Linked DNA regions of Neodiprion lecontei. The protein of the gene in region 1 purifies or fractionates together with the protein of each later gene. This does not show direct contact. Links are inferred from orthologs where the notes say so. Each region holds a gene or a part of one and is shown on either strand. Other genes may lie near its edges.

Region 1 (3,044 bases):
GTTAACAGTCAATGATAATGTGTATGTAACCAGTCCATTTAAATAGACCCACCACTTGATTTCTGTGAATAACGAATATGGATGGATTATAAATGAAGAATAACACCTGTACGAGTAAAATGACACAATGACAGAGAAATGGTCGAAGTAGTAATAAAAAAAGAAACAAAAAAAAACGAGCGGCGATACTTAGAGATTGACAATAATGAAAAAAATTTGGCGTACTTCAAATGAACTTTGTATAACAAAAAAAAAAAAAACTTTTTAAACCTACGTACTCATCAAATTGTCGGGATTATCATTCAATTATAAAGTTCTACCGGCTAAAAAATCATACGCTAGTGTTTCATGTATTCCACACTTTGTATTGTATAATAATGAAATGAATGTAAATTAAGATGAAACAAAGTGAACAAAAAAAAGTATGCTAAACGATTATAGGAGAAATTTTTTTTAATAAAAACAAGGATTTTTTTCCAAAAACTTTACGTTAATTTATTTACAAAATTTTTTTAATACAACCCGGCTTAATCTTATAAAAAATAAACGTACCACAAGTTGTAAGTTTAGTATGATAAAAGTATATACACAGTTTAGGAAGGAGCAGCGCTACGTTTTTTAAAACCTTTTTTAACTTTTCTCTTAAACTCCTCGATGTTGATATCTCCTTTCTTGCTAACATTTTTCGTTGCAACATTTTCCTCAGGAGCAACAAAGGCCTGAGCTCTTCTTTCGACTCTCTTTTTGGCAGCCTCCTCATGCCTGGTCTCCTGTTCCTTACGTTTCTTAGCCTGTTTCTGTTCCTCTTTAAGGAAGAATTCTCCAGATGCCAACTGTTTATCGATTTTACTTTCTTGCTGCGGCGGAGGAAACGGTGTGTATTCCTTCTTAGCCTTTTTATTCTTTGGCTGTTTTCTTTTGCTAACATTTTTGCTGTTAAACTTTGGTAAAAATCTCTCCCAATTTTCGTTTTTCAGCTTAGGATCCTTGGCCAGTTCTCGCTTTATCATCAACGCCTTGATATTGTAAATCGGATGCACGTTCTTCATTGTATCTTCGCAGATTCGTCGCACCTGCTGCAGTCCCTTGTAGGGCCCAAGAGCAGCTACGGTTTGCCCTTGAACCAAAACATAGCACTTAGTTAACAGCTCGATTGACTTCAGTGTGCAGCCGTTGGGTCCGATTAGCCGCTGTCTTCGTTTGACAAACTTCTCCTTGTTCCTGACCAAGGACGATATTTTAATAATATCAGCACCGATGTCGTCCTGTAGAACTTTGACTGCCTGTTCGTATGGCACAGACCTAGACATCAGTTTAATCATGTCCCGGGCCTTGATAATTATGTAGGGATCCCAAGTTGTTCGTGTCGTCTTCACCGTCATGCTACCTTCAATCAGATCTAATTCAGCCTTGATACCCTGTTCCTGTAACGACTTCTGCACCAGCGGCCAACACTGTTTCAAATATTTTTCTCTGTACTTTGGAAACAACGTTGCGAACGAACTTTCCTCTAGTAAACGGTGTGGGTTGTGTTCCGGCTTGAATGCAGGAACCTTGAGGTCCCACGCATTGTCTACAGGGTCTGTATTTACTGGCCGGTCATCCTCCTTTTCAGAATCACTCATTTTCTTAAATTTATTTATTTATTTATATCGCAATGTCTTCGGAACCAGTTCGCACGTGGGTTTAGGCTACGCGCTTTCAGGTTATGTTGATGAAATTTCTGTGGCAGCAGTGAGTAGAGTGAGTGACGGTGAGTGAGCAGTCAACGATTTGACCGAAGGTTCGTGAACTTCAGAATATCGAATAGCAGCGCTCTGCTGCAAGTCCGCCATCTTGCATCCGACACAATATCGACATATCGGTAAGTCAAGTTTTATTTATGCTAATGAGCGTTTACAATTTCAGATTTGACCTAACGGCCGTTGTATCGACACTTGTGATATTTTTATTTTTAGTTATCTATATTTATATATTCACTTTCAACATGATGAGGAAAAATCGATGTCGCGAACCTGCGGCATCCAATTTGAAAATTAGTCGCAGAGTCTACCCTCTAGAAAACTACTTGAAGTAATTTAGCCATGCTCGTAAAGTCACAAGTGACAGCTGATTGTGATCATTCTAGTCGTGTGAAGGTTAACTTTCAACTACTAACCTAGTGCTCAAGCTTAAGCCTACTAACCAAAAGTAAAATAATATGTGATCACGATATTGTAAGTCAGTAATTATTGAAGAATTGACGTTGTGTTTGAGCGTGGCAAGCAATGGCCGATAAAAGTTCGCTATTTCAACTGAGCGACAATATCGCAGGATTGTCTGACGACTCAAAACCATCTGGTGATACTGGGCTCGGGCGTTACTTCAGCAATACGACTCACACGATATTCGATGAAATTGTCCCACCGGAAAAACAAGACATGCTGGAACAACCTTCGGCATCTGCGAGTCCTCGCCCAGTATTTGACTCCTTCTTGACAGACCCGTCAAACAGCTTCCTTGAAAACAGTTTGTCAGATGCTGCGGAACAAGTCTCCGACCATGTCACGGCCAGCGACATTCATAGAGATGCTTGGATCCCCTCGGATCAAACCAAAAAAGTATTAGCCTCGATAGCAACGTCGACGCCTGGAAGTAATTTTCCTGATAGAGAAAATCTGACGATGCCCGGACTGACGTTGCAGGGAGATTTGACCGATACGACTAAGGAGGCTGCGATTCACTTTCTGGGAGAAGAAGAAAACATTCATCGCAACGTTCTCACAGCTTCTGATGTAACGCAGGACGAACGTGGTCTGAGGAATTTGATTCAGACAGGATGTTACCGAGCGGCGATTAATCTTACTGGCAGACTGCTAGCAATTTATGGACAGGGATATGGGAAGATTAATCATCCCAGCAAACACACTCCACACTCTCTCCAATTGTGGTTTACAAGACTCGCACTTTTGGCAAAATTGAAGCACGTCGAAGTTCTTGAAAACGAGTCTAAGCCCTTTGGGAATTTAGATAAGCCTGATATGTTTTTCACATTTTATCCAGAA
Region 2 (3,759 bases), on another chromosome or scaffold:
ACGACGCAATATGAAAAGAAAATTTAGTCTAGTTGGCAAGTGATTCTGGATACATTTCGAGCGATGCTAACTCATCGCTCATTGGTAAGCAGATATAAACATCTATATAAAGTATTCGATTTGTTAATCAATAAGTAATACTCACTTGTAACTGTATATCGGCGATCTTGTTCCACGAGAACTCGAATTCATTAACGGGAATTCGTGCCTGCTTCAGGTAACGCAGAAATCCTAATTCTTCTGGTCGCAAAACCATCAAGGCGTGACCACTGCTGCCTTCTCCACGTGCTGTTCTTCCAACTCTGTGTATATATTCCTGAAGAGAAGAGAACAATACAAGCATAAAAAAATGTAACTGATTGTCTGATAGTTTCTGCGTAAATCTGAGAATGCAAATTGTACCTTAGGATCATCCGGCGGATCATATTGCACGATCCAATCAACATCAGGAATGTCAAGACCACGAGCTGCAACGTCGGTACATAGAAGAATACCAGTGGATGCGTTACAAAATTGGAAGAACGTTGTGGTGCGTTTAGTTTGCTTTTGCTTTCCCTAAAAGAGAGTAATAAAAGAATCTATATGAGGCTGGGTGATGAATAAAGGAATATATTGTGCAGGAAATAAAATTGCAGAGCGTACTTACGTGTATGCTCATCACCGGTAGGTCGATATAATTCAATAGTTCATGGTAATATTTGACGGACATGCAGGAGCTGAAGAATACCATAACCTTCTTCTTCCGATTCTTCTTAAGGAAGGTAAACAGAAGCAGAAAACGTTTCTCACTTGGACACACAACATAACCTTGTTCCAAACCCTCGACGGTTGCCTTTTCTTTTTCGTCATCCACCCCCACATATATCGGCTCTTTTTTGAGAGCTAAGGTAGTCAAAGCTTCCGTTTTCTGAGACTGTGTCGCGCTGAATAACATCGTCTGTCTTCTTTCTGTAACAGAGAAATTCAGATGAAATAAGACGTTGAAGAATATTCCTAGAAAGTAATGTTAGAAAAGAAATACACATGAGAGTAATTTCTCCAAGTTGCAATGCATGTAAACTGTACAACTAATTAGATTTTTATCCAGCATTCTATACAATGCAAATACTGATAAAAAGAAAAGCTACTCACTGGGCAGAATATTGATAATCTGTTTCAATTCTTCTTCGAAACCAATATCCAGTATACGATCAGCCTCATCGATAATTAGGCACTGAAGATTTTTATACAAAAAATCAGGAGTGTTTTGAAGGTGATCCAACAATCGGCCAGGTGTAGCTACCACGATGTTTATACCCTTAGAAAGTTTCTGTGCCTCAGTTTTCCTATTTGCGCCTCCCATCAGCAAGCCATAAGTGTGATGATGGTGCTTCATGAGCTCCTTGAGAACGCCAAAGGTCTGCATAGACAACTCACGTGTCGGGGATATTATAATGCAGCCGGTGCCTAAAATAAAAAATTTCCCAATTTCTATCTACTGAAAGATTTGTATTTGGATATATTTCTGCAGACTAACCATTTCGTGGCATGAACTTTAGTTTGTAGATGAGTTCGACAGCTGGTATTAAAAATGCTAGTGTTTTTCCAGAGCCTGTTTTTGCAGCCCCAACAAGATCTCGTCCTTCAATTAGGGCAGGAATTGATCGGGCTTGAATTTCAGTCATGTTAGCAAAACCCATATCTTCAATTGCCTTCAGGGTATTCTCACATACTTTGTCTTTTAGGGATGAGAACGCAGCATTGTTCATTATTTCCAAACCTACGGCGGATCCAGGTACTGAAAATCATAAAATGGAACTTTCAACGATGAGAAAAATATACCTATACTCTGTTATAAATTTGAGGCTCACATATTTTTGCCACATCGCACGGCGTAGCTTCCTCCTCCAACTCTTCTTCTCCGCTGTCATTATCACTTTCATCTTCATTGTTTTCAGTGTGTTCTAACTTCGCTGGCTTCTTCTTTTTCTCTGAAAATTCGTATCAGTCATTGTATATACTACATCAACACTGTAAATTCTGAAAATATCACTATTGTAGATTTGACTCACGTTTCACTGAAATATCATCAGGCAGATGCCGTTTAACTCCGTGCCCATTCACAACTATGTCTTCATTGCTGTTATCAGATTTCTCTGCAAAGCCTGAACATTTGGAAAATAACCGAAATTTTAGTAGTATGACTTAAGCTTACTTATTAATAATTCATGAATGTTATACTTTAATAGTTATTAACTAACTCTATTAATTATATTGAATGTAAAAGTCAAAATTTATTTTCAACTAACCATTATTTGGCCGTTTTCCAGGTTTTACTTTACGCACAGATTTTTTGGGTGCCTGAAATAACAGTCTCATTATCAATTATTCAAACACTATAATATCAAGGCATTAATTTTTATCCCAATGTATTGACGATGAAATGAAACTAAGATATTTTATAGGTTAGGACAAATATTGCCGAAGAGAATATTCGATTGTGGGGTTCCAGGATGTTGAAACAGTGAGATACCTGATTAGTAAATGTATTTATCACTTATATATGAAAGCAATGATAGGCTCAACATTTTCAAACAATGGTAAGGAAAGTTCTAAGTATTTGACGCCTTGGAGGTTAGATTATGTCACGAAAAGAATTGAATTTATAATTGAATTGCCGAATAATATTGTTCGTTCTTACCATTTAGCACTTCTTTATAATAGTATTTATGCAACAAGAACGTTATAACCCAATAATGCTGTATAATATACTGCAAGTCTAGCAAATATATTCAATTTATAACCCACGCTCCATCGACAAACACATGGCGAGCATGGTACTGCATGGTACAGTTAGGAAAATCAAGCCAGTCAAGCATTAAGTATACAGTATCACCTAGTAACGTATGAACTGAACTCCCTCAGTTCCCTTCGCGGCGGCTGCCTCAGAGCGGTGAAATTGAATTTGACTGTAGAGTACAACGCAGAACATATGAGTTTTTTTTAACAACCGCCGATAAAAATAGGCGAATTAATTGACTTATCATTCACTTTATAGGATATGTTTTTTAGACGACTGTGTTTAAATGTGTCTTCAACTGAAGAAAAACTAGTATTTGTCATAGCGAAAATTGAATAAAAATTCATAACTCGATTGCCAATAATATACCTAACTCAACATGTACCACCTAAAAGAAAGGTATTGCTGGTATTGTGCAAGCATCTAGTTATTGTTGAAGTTTAACTGAACAAACTTAGGGTGATACATGAGGATTTATGAAACTGACACTGATCGAAATGGAGAACCGATAGACAAAAAAGCTATAAGTTTATAAAATAACAATATTATTACTATTAATAACAAGAAGTCAGTTAGACATTACAAGCGAATCTACTAATATGAGGCTGCAATTATTAATTGTAATATAGCACCTATTATAATATAATGAAAAATATATTTGTTTATTTCTTGTGCAACTTAATAGGTAAAAATACAATATCAGGCTCACACAGCATCTGCTCATAACTTTTTGCAACTGGCTTCATGTTTTTGTAGCCTATACGGATAAAACTTGCGATGGCAAAGCTTACATGGAAGCAGCTGGGCATAGTGTTCTTCCAAATTCACCACCGGTGCATTAAAATCTGAAATAAATTCAGTTTCATTTAATACAACTCCAGTATAATAAATTCGTTGGAGTTGACTATAGTTTACCTTCTGGCGGCAGTATTGGTTTTTCTTCAACCTCGTCTTTTGGAGAAGAAATAGGTGCGGCTGAT
Region 3 (3,759 bases), on another chromosome or scaffold:
AAAATTCTGTTACCCTGGGATGAATAAATATATAAAAAGAATGCATACCCATATATGCTTTTGAATATCTTCTTTTTTAACACTTCATTACGAGCTTTTTGTTGGTAAGATGTAACGTCATTCAACTCGAGATATTCAGGTCTGTATTGAAGCGCTTTTTTCAGCGAACACCATTTGTTCAATTCTTTATCATCAGCCATAATGATCTGCAACAAAGTCCTGTATTATTACGTGATACTTGGTTTTTCTCGTTTTGAGGATTGACTCAGTTTAAAACAAATAGCTCAAGCAATACTGAATTTTAATTGTTCAAAACAACTCACTTCGTCTATAGTTAGCCCATAATCATTCGCGACAACGTTTCTGTATTTAAATCTGCAAGGCTGATCACCGATCATGTCTTCATAATCCAAAGCGTAATATTGATCTAAATAAGCTTGATAAGACGGATTTCCAGTTGGATCGAAAGTGGGCTTCTCCTTAGCAACTGCCACAGCCAATTTGTTACGTCTTCTTCTCTTCTTTTTTCGAGAAGAATCGATCAATTCTTCCTGCAGTGTCTTGGTTGGATCGTAATCTGCATCCATCTGAAATAGCATATTATATTCACACCTATCTAATCTAGGAAGACTAAATAAAGGACAATGAGGATTACATTGAAATCTGGGTCATCGCAGTGTGGTCCATTATTACGCTTGGTCTCCGGTATTACTTCCTCTTGTTTTGGATCATACTTATCCCAGGTTGTTTCAATATCTAGCTCTTCATCAATGTCTGGAAATTCCGGTTTCAGATCGCCTTCGGGCGCAGCATAAAATTCGTCACTGAACATAGCCTGCATCTTACGATCATGCTCGGCTGGATCAAAATCTCCATCCAAATCAATTTCATTAAAGTGTATATCGTCGTTACCTGGGAACAATAAAATTATTGTTCGTTCTTCAACCATGAAAGCAACATATTTATGCAGATAATTTGAACACCAGTATGTTGCAAAGTTTCACTTTCAAAAGTTTGTTAGAATTCTCCCAAGATTCTCGACCAAGTATAAAATTATGTAAAAATTATACTGATGAATTTTTAGGGGCATTACTATTTCGAAACAAGTTTTGGTGTTCAAATTTTATAACAACTCTATAAAAGCGTCATCTACCAGTAATTTCTTTCAACTTCTCGATCTTCTCTTCAATCTCCTTTCTTTTGAGAGCTTTCAATTGTTTTAGTTCTTCACGTTTTCGAACAGCTTCTTCCTCTTTTCTCTTTTTTAATTCGACCCTCTTCTCAGCACGCCGTGTGTCTTTACGTCTCATGGAATTTTCAAGCGTGCGAGGATATCTAGAATTAGAATGTAATTTAAAGTCATTACCAATGTTACAAAATTTGTGCTGACATCTACAATTTGGAATGTCAGCAATTTTCACCTCTTTATAAATTCTTGATCAGGCTCTTCGAATCGAAAATTATATTTGTGCTCGAATTCTTCCTGTATTTCAATATTCTTCTCATCTTCACTCAAATTCTCATCGCTATCATGAACCACCAAATCATATTCCGGGTTGAAATCATTAAAGTCTTGATCCAAAAATTTCTTATTCAATATATAATCTCTAAGAAATTTCTCATTCTGATCTAGTTTTGGATCAGTCCAAAAATCTCGTAGAGGTTTTAATTCTTTCTTATCCACCCCATCGATTTCTGTATGCTGACCTTTCAGCCATTCTTTGTAAGCTTCTTCCTCCTAAATAAGACAACAAATTTAACACAATGACACTACCCATTCAATGTTGATTGACAATTCTATACCCGACAGAAACAAACCTTTTTTTCATCTTCGTCAGATTTTGTTTTTGGCTTGAGAAGATCAGCTGTCTCATCATCTTCATCCTCCTCCAAGATCTTTTTAAAACTTTCCTTCAGCTTGAGCTGCTCTTTCACGTAAGTGGGAGCTAAAGGTTGATTATTCTCTTGCTGGAGAGTATCTTCATCTTCGCTGTCGCTAAATTTACCATCTCGTTCGAGCATAACTTTCCGTTCATAGTCTCTCAAGAACAGTGGCTTATTTTTAGCTTTCTCTTTAATCGTCGCTTTGGAGGTGTCCTCCAACTGTTCGATGTCATCGAAGAAAGTAACTTGTTCATCGTAAATTCGAGGATCTTTATTTTTTAAGCATGCCAAGGTTTTGTAAAAGTTTTTCTCGAATGCCTCAGTCAATTCCTTGAAGAAATATTATTATTAATCAAAATACAACGAAAAGAAAAAACTAAGCAGTCATACTGAAATGAACACATTGTATAATAAATTGCCAACTATTACTTTTCCATCTTCATCCTCCTCCTCCGAGGTGCTGGAATCCTCGTCTGAGGTATGAAGATCTTTGATGTGTTCACCATACTTTGTTTTCACTATAAAATTAAGCACACATATATTTATGTAGAAATCGTATTTTGAGGTTAACGACGTTTGAGGTTAACCGCGTTTCAACTTAGCAGGTAATATTTACATTTGTTCAGTTCCTCTTTCTGTCTCCAATTGTTGTAGTTTTGCGCGTAACTCGAATTTATCTTCAATTCCGAATCCGAATCAGAATGGTTGCTATTAAATAAATCATTCATTAAAACGAACTCAGGCTCTCCTCACGTGTTGACGGTACAGCAAACTTTCATTCTATAATCTGTGCCAAGCGGCAAGCATCCGCATTCAAGATTTTTACCACGAATTTTAACCAATTACACGACTCGTTTGTACTCCAGGTACCACGTGACAACACAGAAGAACGTAGGTTCTCCCACCATGGTTTTCACATTCGCCTCACATGGCTTCAATCAAAGCATATACCTATATCACTGACACAGTCTGTGATCACTGGCATGCAACTAAACAAGCAGTGATGTTTCTACATGTATATCCTCCAAAGGGCGTCGGGCGTAAATAAACACAAACTCCGCAGCAGAAAGCAAAGAGAATAGGCACTGATATCGTATAAACTATATCAATGAGAGTAGGTATCTCTGACAGATAAATCGTGGTGGATGAATCAACGGAGAAGTAACAGTTTGTCTTATCTATTTACTATTCTACAGAGAATCTCTGTTAACAGGAATTCATTTGCTATTTCTAGGGTTTATCTTCAAACTATTTATGTATGCATATAATTATAAATACGTCTTGCTCGAAATACCAACTACTTTAGTTTAAAAAAAAAGTTATTTGCATTGAGTGAATCATTTTTAACGAAAGGATTGATTACAAATACATGTTACGATATTTTTTCCCGTATATTGTATAATAATGTACATACGTGATTCATAGTAACTAATATTTAACAATAATTGGTAATTATTTAGATATAACAAGCGAAGGTGAACTCTTGAAATCCAATAATAACGAATTTAATACAATACAAGACTCTTTCGTCCCTTTTTCTTATAGGTAACTATGTATATAATTTTCATTCAGTTTTATTTATCATTATTATTTTCGTTATTTCTACGTTTTAAGAAGTGATGCTTCGATTTTTTTTCACTGCCCTGATGTCCTGTGCAGCAGTTCTATTTCGTTTTCTTTTCCTTATTTCTTACATTTATTACGTAACGTGATAAATATTATACAATCGTGGTCAGGCAATATTGAAAGAAGGAATACAAATTCTTTATATCCACTCTCAATATTGGAACTACTTACAATCTATTGTACAATATGTATATATGTATATGGTACAATATTCCATGTACGTACTCCTGCCAAACAATTTCAATTTTA

The links.
Region 2: the proteins of KRR1 small subunit processome component homolog (region 1) and probable ATP-dependent RNA helicase pitchoune purify together in Homo sapiens (affinity purification with mass spectrometry; 3 studies listed by BioGRID and IntAct, with this or other methods). This does not show direct contact. The link is inferred for Neodiprion lecontei from reciprocal best matches to the Homo sapiens genes KRR1 and DDX18.
Region 3: the proteins of KRR1 small subunit processome component homolog (region 1) and protein KRI1 homolog purify together in Homo sapiens (affinity purification with mass spectrometry; 3 studies listed by BioGRID and IntAct, with this or other methods). This does not show direct contact. The link is inferred for Neodiprion lecontei from reciprocal best matches to the Homo sapiens genes KRR1 and KRI1.

Annotation. Positions count from the first base shown.
Region 1 is NC_060262.1:40,403,595-40,406,638, forward strand, and holds KRR1 small subunit processome component homolog, read right to left. Parts: upstream 1,753-3,044; 5' UTR 1,626-1,752; coding exon 594-1,625; 3' UTR 508-593; downstream 1-507. Other genes in the region: trafficking protein particle complex subunit 12, read left to right, coding at 2,268-3,044. UniProt on the Homo sapiens protein: Part of the small subunit (SSU) processome, first precursor of the small eukaryotic ribosomal subunit.
Region 2 is NC_060260.1:4,906,854-4,910,612, reverse strand, and holds the start of probable ATP-dependent RNA helicase pitchoune, read right to left. Parts: upstream 2,835-3,759; 5' UTR 2,684-2,834; coding exon 2,681-2,683; intron 2,341-2,680; coding exon 2,289-2,340; intron 2,145-2,288; coding exon 2,052-2,144; intron 1,971-2,051; coding exon 1,851-1,970; intron 1,778-1,850; coding exon 1,517-1,777; intron 1,447-1,516; coding exon 1,132-1,446; intron 949-1,131; coding exon 647-948; intron 556-646; coding exon 403-555; intron 356-402; exon of another isoform or gene 317-355; coding exon 146-316; intron 85-145; exon of another isoform or gene 1-84. Other genes in the region: uncharacterized protein LOC107226345, read right to left, coding at 3,500-3,624, 3,695-3,759. UniProt on the Homo sapiens protein: ATP-dependent RNA helicase that plays a role in the regulation of R-loop homeostasis in both endogenous R-loop-prone regions and at sites of DNA damage.
Region 3 is NC_060260.1:30,354,158-30,357,916, forward strand, and holds the start of protein KRI1 homolog, read right to left. Parts: upstream 2,868-3,759; 5' UTR 2,613-2,867; coding exon 2,501-2,612; intron 2,403-2,500; coding exon 2,314-2,402; intron 2,215-2,313; coding exon 1,819-2,214; intron 1,739-1,818; coding exon 1,422-1,738; intron 1,336-1,421; coding exon 1,154-1,335; intron 913-1,153; coding exon 656-912; intron 588-655; coding exon 324-587; intron 207-323; coding exon 49-206; intron 1-48.